2 linked regions of the Ovis aries genome follow. The protein of the gene in region 2 purifies or fractionates together with the protein of the main gene of each other region. This does not show direct contact. Links are inferred from orthologs where the notes say so. Each region holds a gene or a part of one and is shown on either strand. Other genes may lie near its edges. The genes, in order: SDHB and SDHAF1.

Region 1 (4,557 bases), on a different chromosome or scaffold from region 2:
TATCAAATACCTAGCTTTCACAGAGATACTCACTTATTCAAATCAATCTCGTAAGTTTGCATATGAGGTTTGTCTCCTGTCTTGTCTGGGTCCCATCGATAGATGGCAAACTTCTTGATTCGGGGTGCTGCGGCTGCAGCTGTCTGGGCCCCACGGCAGGCCTGAAATTTAAAAAGTTCCCAAGAAGGGGAAAAAAAGAATCATTAAAAATGCAAGATAAATCATTCTACTTAGTTGGCACTATAAACTGCAATACTGGATACAAACTCGCCTATTCCTGACACAGTCTTTCAAGATCCAACAGACGGCGCCAAGCAACTGTGCCATGCCAGCGATGGCACTGGGGGCTGGTGAAATGGCGCTGAATAAGCACACACAGCCTTTGCCCTCACAGAAACCAGTGTGCAGCAAGCAAGACGAGAGACAGAACACTCATAATAGAATACAGCGAGGGAGGCCTGGCAGCGGAGATTCACACTGGTCTAAGTGGCCAGGGAGGCCTCCATAAAGGATACTTAGGCTGAGGCTTGATGACTAGGGGTGCAGGGCAAGGAGAAGGGGCATTAGAAGCTGAAGGAGCATGTGCAGAGGCCTGGGTGGGAGGGCACAGACCCCTGTGAGGACCGAGAGACGTCCACTGTGCAAAGGCTAACCTGAGACGGGATGAGACAGGGCAGGCTCCAGGAAGGCAAGAAAGACTTCTAAGTTTTGATCTTATCCTAAGAGCAATGAGAAGCTAACAAAAATTTATCAGGTGGATGACATTTTATTTTTGAGAAGACCACCACTGGCTTACAAAGGAAGACTCGTCAGATGACATCTAGGGAAACCAGTTAGAAAGCGACTGCGGTGATCGAAGAGAGACGCTGGTGTTTCAATTAGGTATTTTAGCCTGAGTCACTGTAAAAAAAAAAAAAACACCGAAGACTAGGCAGCTAACACAGCAGACATTTACTTCTCATGGTTCTGGAGGCGGGAAGTCCAAGAGCCAGGTGTCAGCAGGTCCGCTTTGGTGTCCAAGTGAGGACAGACGGCTGCATCCTGCTCCACCTCCACTTGCCGCAGAGACCTCAGGTCTCTCCTTCTCTCCATGAGGGCAGTGACCCACCACACAGGTCCTGCCCTCATGACCTCATCTAACCCTAATTCCCTCTCACAGGCCCCAGGTTCAGGTACCATCACACTGGGCATCGGGGGTCCTACGTATGAATTCTGGGGGAACACAATCCGCCCGCAGCAGGACGGCTTTGTACAGCAGCAGAGGAGACCAGGTAACGCATACCGTATCTTAGAACAAGGCAAAGCCCGGGCACTCACAGCAGCAGAGACCTGCGCTCTGAACACAGCTCCTGGGCGTCCACAGTCTGTGCCAGTCGGCCTCATGCGCGCCACGGGGCCCTGGAGCGCCGCCGGGGGCTGCTGGGAGACGACAGTGGTAAGGGGGACCGGCTTCCCGCCCTCCAAGAGAGCAGCCTCCCCACAAAAATGTATTTGCAAAAAGGGTGCTTTGCTCAAAAAGTTTTCTGTTTAAATTTACCCTCATCTTAAAAGCCACTATTTATTACTGCCAGGCACTGTATTAAATGCTTTATATTAATGACTCCACTGGATCTTCATTTTTAAAGACGAGCAAATGAGGCTCAGAGGTCAAGTGATGGGCCCACAATCAAGAGCTGGTCAGCGGAGCCAGGACTGGAACCCAGGTCTGGCTCCAGAGCCCACGTTCCTGAACACGGTTCTGTTCATTTGGGCGTCTTCTCAGGCCTCTTCTTGGTGCCGCTTCCTTCTCCTCACATCCTGACTCCTCCAGGGCATGTGTATCAGCCAGGCTCTCCAGAGAACCAGGACCGACGGTGTGTGCCCGCGCACGCACGCACGCACACACACGCACGCACGCACGCACGCACACACACACACACTCACACACAGAGTGTGAAAAGAGGGTTAGTACACAGAACCGGCCCACGTGCCTACGGGGAACTGGCTCGTGTGGTTATGGGGATAACAACCCCCAAGATCCGCAATGGGCAAGCTGGAGAGCCGATGACGCAGCCCCAGTTCAGATGCCAGCACGCTCAAGACCCAGGAAGAGCTGTTACTTCAAGTCCAAAGGCGAGAAGAAGAATCAATATCCCAGCCTGACAGACGGGCTTCCTCTGATTTGAAGGAGGGCCAGTTTTTTGTTCTATCGGTATCTTCAATCGACCGGATACGGCCGCCCGTGTTAGAAAGCGCAATATGCTTCACTCAGTCTATCCTATTTTCTTAAACGCAATTAACAACTTTTAAACAATTTAAATTTTTTTAAAAAGTATATTTTCTGGCCACATTGTGCAGCTTGTTGGATCTTAGTTCCCTAACCAAGGGCTGAATCCGGGTCCTCAGCAGTGAAAGCCTTAAGTCTTAACCACTGGACCACCGAGAATTCCCCCAAATATTCTGATACAATCTTAAGGCTTACTTCACATCTACAGTTATTACAAGAGACTGGCTACAGTCCCCGTGCTGTCTGCGCCTCCCTGAGCCCGTCTCCCGCCCATCAGACTGTGCCCCCCGCCTCCCCGCCCCCCGCTGGTAGCCATGTTTGTTCCGCTTCCTTTTTGGTTCTGTTCAGCATTTTGCTTTATTTTTAAGACTCCACATATAAATTGCATCATATAATAATTGTATTCCTCTGTCAATCTATCAATTAAAATGTTAAACTCATTCAAAAACACTCACTGAAACACCCAGAGAAACATCCTACCAAGGGTCTGGGCCCAGTCAAGTCGATACAGAGCGCGTGACAGCATGGAGCCCTACATGTCCCGTCTCCCAGCAGACCTGGTCCAGGCCCCTGCATACAGCAGTTCAATCCATGGTTAGGAATGACTGAAGAAAAGGGCAAAAACTGAGCATTAGAATAATGCAAAAATGTGGTTTATTCTGAATGTACCTTAAAAGGCTGAACAGTGCAACCTACATCAAGCCATTAAGAAATAAAAGTACCCCTCTGTCTGTGGCATTCCCGTACAACGAATGCCAAGCCGCCGCCGTCCCCTCGTCCTTGAAGCCCTTTTGCATTTAGGCAGACAAAACAAAGCAGAGGCCACACAAGTCCTGCGGGCTTCTCCTGCGGCTGTGAGGAGGGGAGGGTCTTGCCAGTCCAGAGAGTACTTGGCAAGATTCAAGCTACATTCCAGGCCAGCTCACTCTCTTATAAACTGCTGAAGAAAGCAAAAACTCTTAAGGTTCACTCAGTAATTACAAGAAATGCACTGGAGTTTACTACTGGCTGGCAAAACCCAGCCCAAATTAAACAAAGCTGAAGATATCGACCCTCAGTACGGGAAGAAAACGTATGAAGAAAATGAAGGTGACGGTGAAGAGGAAAGCTGTATTTCATCAAATCACCAAGCTGGTGAGGATCATTGGAAAAAGGAAAGTCACTTCTGCAAATGAACACGTTCCAACTGGAGGCTCCATTTTGTGAAATGTCAGGAATGCTTGGCTAACGCCACCTTGTGGTGACTCAGAGGAGGGGAACAGACTCTTGACATTTTTGGCGGTGTCTGCCAGCGCGCAGGACCTCAGTAGCCCAGAACCTCTGCCCTCGCAGTGAAAAGGGGCGTCCTAACCACTAGACTGCCGAGAATTCCCGGTTGCAGGTATTAGCTCCAGCAAGCTTTTGCTTGCTTAACTGCCCTACCCCCACCCTTTCTGGGGACTGCCCTGGTGGCTCAGACAGTAAAGCGTCTGGCTACAATGGGGGAGACCTGGGTTCGATCCCTGGTCAGGAAGATCCCCTGGAGAAGGAAATGGCAACCCACTCCAGTATCCTTGCCTGGAACATCCCCTGGACGGAGGAACCTGGTAGGCTACAGTCCATGGGGTTGCAAAGAGTCGGACACGACTGAGCAACTTCACTTCTTCACTCTTTTCTGTGAGATTTAATGAGGTATATTCATTATAATTCACCAATTTTAAGTGCACAGTTTGACGAGTTTTGATGAAATTGTATAACCACTACCACAATCACAGCAGAACATCCCCATTAAGAAAGCCCGCTGCAGTCAGCGCCCTCTCCCTCCCCCCGCAACTGACCGCTTTCTATCACTGCAGATCTATCTGCCTCTGACAGAACTCCATATAAACACCGTGAGGTCACACACTGCGGGCCTGGCTTCTCTTGCTCCACAAAGCGCTTCTGAGATTCATTCATGCTGCTGCATATACTCGTAGACTGCTGCTCTTTAAGTTAACACCTTTCATTTGGAAATAACTGTAGAATCCCATGCATTTGTAAGAAATAATCCTGAGCTCCCACCTGTCCTTTACTTGATTTCCCTCAGTGATGACCATGCACGAAACTACAGCACGATGTAACCCCGATATAGTCCAGGTATGGCCTCCCTGTGGCTCAGCTGGTAAAGCATCTGCCTGCAATGCGGGAGACCTGGGTTCGATCCCTGCGTTGGGAAGATCCCCTGGAGAGGGGAACGGCTGCCCACTCCAGTATTCTGGCCTGGAGAGTTCCATGGACTGTGTGGTCCACGGGGCCACAGGGTCGGCCGCGAG
Region 2 (3,196 bases):
ACTCTATGGACAAAGGAGCCTCACAGGCTACAGTCCACGGGGTTATAATGAGTCAGACCCAACTGAGCAGCAGGCATGCCAGGGCATCCTACCTTTGATTTGAGCTCTGAGTTCCTTTCCTGAGGTCCTCCTCCTCTCAACTGCTTTTAATGGGTGCAAATACAGCTGAGGGCTACAAAACGCAGCACCTCAGGGAATGTCTAGGGCACGTCCCTGTGGGGGCATGCGAAGAGCTATGTCTGTGGCCTATGGGTCCACCTCTCCTTTCCCACCCCTAGGCCTTGCTAACAGTTCCAGCTTGTAGCTGAGGCTGGACTCCTTAGCAAGGTTTGAGGGTCCCACTACTACTGCAGGGATTACCAGCCAGGCCTCCTCAGCCCCACCATTCCTCTTCCGCCTCACTACCCCCCATTAAGGGGTCAACAGGGGCTTCCTTGGGGGTCAAACCAGGGTGGCTTCCCTCCATGGATCTGCCCAGGAGAAAGAACTATGCTGCTCCAACCAATCTGCCATTCTAGAGGGTTCCCCACACCCATCCCTTGCCAGAGGGTCACTTCTTGATAACCCCCAAAATCCCCCAAACACATCAAATCTTTACCACCACCAACAGGGAAGTAAGCACACCCCCATTTTATTGCCTTTTTGTCCAACAGTCCTGAGCAGGGAAAGGGGCAGGAATCGGGGTGGAGAGGGGGAGGTTTCACCCTCAGAACCATCATGCAGAGGTCTTAAGGCGGTCTTTAACTGATTAGCGGGGTGAGAAACCCCTTACCCCCTTCCTCACCAATCCCAGTTGGTCTCAGTGGAGTAAAGATTTTTCTGAGGGGGTTTCCAGGCTTCTCACCAGTCCATCAGGGCATCGTCCCAAACTCCTCCTCATCTGCTCTTCTCAGAGTTAAGTACAGGAGAGAGGAGTCTCTTTGAGGAGCCGCCAGTGGTATTTCTCAGGGTTCTAGACAAGGGCGTGTCAAGTCTCTTTCCGTCCAACAGCGGGGCGTCTTGGCTCCCCAGGCCTTAGGGTAAGCAGCTTTTAGTTTGACAGCCCGCCCCAAGCCTCATTGGTTAAGTCTGACCCGGTACCATACAGCAAGTAAAGCCGGGCATTTCTCGCCATCGCACCCCACGTCCCAGGAGAGCTCTTCAACTACCTCAATCTGTCGATCTAGTTTCTCAAGACCTCTCACTTTCCATCGGGGGGCTCCCCCGGTCCTCCAGTCCCCCTGAGCCATCGGCAGAGCCCTTCAGCCGGTCACCGTCCATCCAGCGGGGTCTTCGGTGTCCTTATGCTGTCTAGCGGTCTCCTCCGGTCGTCACCTTCATTGGACAGGGTCCCTGGGGCCCCCGCGCCGTTGGACTCCTCGGTCGGGTCCTGCGTACGGACGAAGGCACCCATGGCCGTGGCGTGGCCCGAGCGTAGCATCTGGAGCTGGCGCCGACCGCGGCGGTACAGGTACTCAATGCGAAGTACGTCTGAGCGTGGCAGGCAGGCGTGCTGCCGGAATTCAGCCCGCACCCGTGCCTCGGCGCCCGGCTTCCCGCGCCCGGCGCGCAACAGCTCGCGGTACAGGCTCAGAACTTGCCTCTGCAACCGGCTGTGCCGGCTCATGGCAGCAGCTGGGCCGCGGGGCACGGAGCGGCGCACGGGAACAGGCGGCAGAAGCGGTGAAACACCGCCACAGGCACTTCCGCCTCCCGCTCCCAGCTTTGCGGCGCCGTCGCGCCTCATAGGTCGTCGCTGCTGCTACGTCACAATGTTGTGAGTAAGGGGCGGAGCTAATGGTTCACTGGCCCGCCCCACTGGACATCAGTGTCCTTGAGAGGACGGTACTCCTGAGGGCCTGGAGGAGGAGGACGCTAGACGCTGAGACTCTTAGGTTTGGGGTCGGAAGAGACCAGGGGATCCTGACCTGACTCTTGGGTCCTGCGAGTGGAGAGAGCTAGAGGTTAGGGTCCTTGTGTTCCCCAGAGCGCTGGGGGCACGGGGAGAGAGAAGACGGGCACACACGTGGGTTTATCCTCATTTATTAAAGCAACCATAGGAAGCTCCGTGAGTCCCCACTCCCAGAGCAAGTGTACATCGAAGGCCCCAACCCCTGGGGAGAGGAATACCCGGTAAAGTGTTGGGTCACAGCCGGCAGAACAAGCCTCTCGGTGCTGAGAATATACCGTGGGCTATAAGCCCCCAAACGCAGCCTGTTTGGGCCGGTAGCGCTCTCTGCCGACGTGAGTCGGATCTGAGGGTAGGAGAGGGAGGGGCCTCCCTAGCTGTTGAAGCGGAGTCCAGCCCACAAGGAACTCTTCGACTATGTTGGCACTCCGCAGACCTGCAGGCAGTATCAGGTAGTCAGCTGCAATTCCGTTATAGTTCCCGCAGGCTATTCGGAGGCGTCCTCGTAGCGCTGGGAGGCCCGCAAGGCCACGACCCGCTCAGCACCCTACCAGCACCTACCAGCACCTACCGGCACCCGGAGCGTGGGGAACCAGGCAACGATAACCCGGGACCCCTCCGCCCAGCGTGCGACCACGCCCCCGCACATCTGGTCATGGGTTCTTCCGCAGGAGGCTAGGCTAGTCAGGGGCTGAGGAGAGGGCCTGAGTCTGGGAGTCGATCAGTTCAGTTCAGTTCAGTTGCTCAGTCGTCTCCTCTCACCTCATGGACGCCAGGCTTCCCTGTCCCTCACCAACTCCCAGAGCTTGCTCAAACTCATGTCCATCGAGTAGGTGATGCTATTCAACCATCTCATCCTCTGTCCTCCCCGTCTCCTCCTGCCTTCAATCTTTCCCAGCATCAGGGTTTTTTCTAATGAGTCAGTTGTTCGCATCAGGTGGCCAAAGTATTGGAGTTTCAGCTTCAGCATCAGTCCTTCCAATGAATATTCAGGACTGATTTCCTTTAGGATTGACTGGTTTGATTTCCTTGCAATCCAAGGGACTCTCAAGAGTCTTCTCCAACACCACAGTTCAAAAGCATCAATTCTTTGGCTCTCAACTTTCTTTATAGTCCAACTCTCACATCTATACATGACTACTGGAAAAACCATAGCTTTGTTTAGATGGACCTTTGTCAGCAAAGTAATGTCCCTACTTACTATGCTGCCTAGGTTGGTCATAGCTTTTCATCCAAGGAGTAAGTGTCTTTTAATTTCATGGCTGAAGTCACCATCTGCAGTGATTTTGGAGCCAAGTCCATGAATTC

Evidence for each region.
Region 1: the proteins of SDHAF1 (region 2) and SDHB purify together in Homo sapiens (co-immunoprecipitation; 3 studies listed by BioGRID and IntAct, with this or other methods). This does not show direct contact. The link is inferred for Ovis aries from reciprocal best matches to the Homo sapiens genes SDHAF1 and SDHB.

What each region holds. Positions count from the first base shown.
Region 1 is NC_056055.1:249,224,219-249,228,775, reverse strand, and holds the start of SDHB (succinate dehydrogenase [ubiquinone] iron-sulfur subunit, mitochondrial), read right to left. Parts: upstream 3,041-4,557; 5' UTR 2,843-3,040; coding exon 2,747-2,842; intron 1,420-2,746; coding exon 1,318-1,419; intron 162-1,317; coding exon 34-161; intron 1-33. UniProt on the Homo sapiens protein: Iron-sulfur protein (IP) subunit of the succinate dehydrogenase complex (mitochondrial respiratory chain complex II), responsible for transferring electrons from succinate to ubiquinone (coenzyme Q).
Region 2 is NC_056067.1:45,972,715-45,975,910, reverse strand, and holds SDHAF1 (succinate dehydrogenase assembly factor 1, mitochondrial), read right to left. Parts: upstream 1,701-3,196; 5' UTR 1,607-1,700; coding exon 1,250-1,606; 3' UTR 616-1,249; downstream 1-615.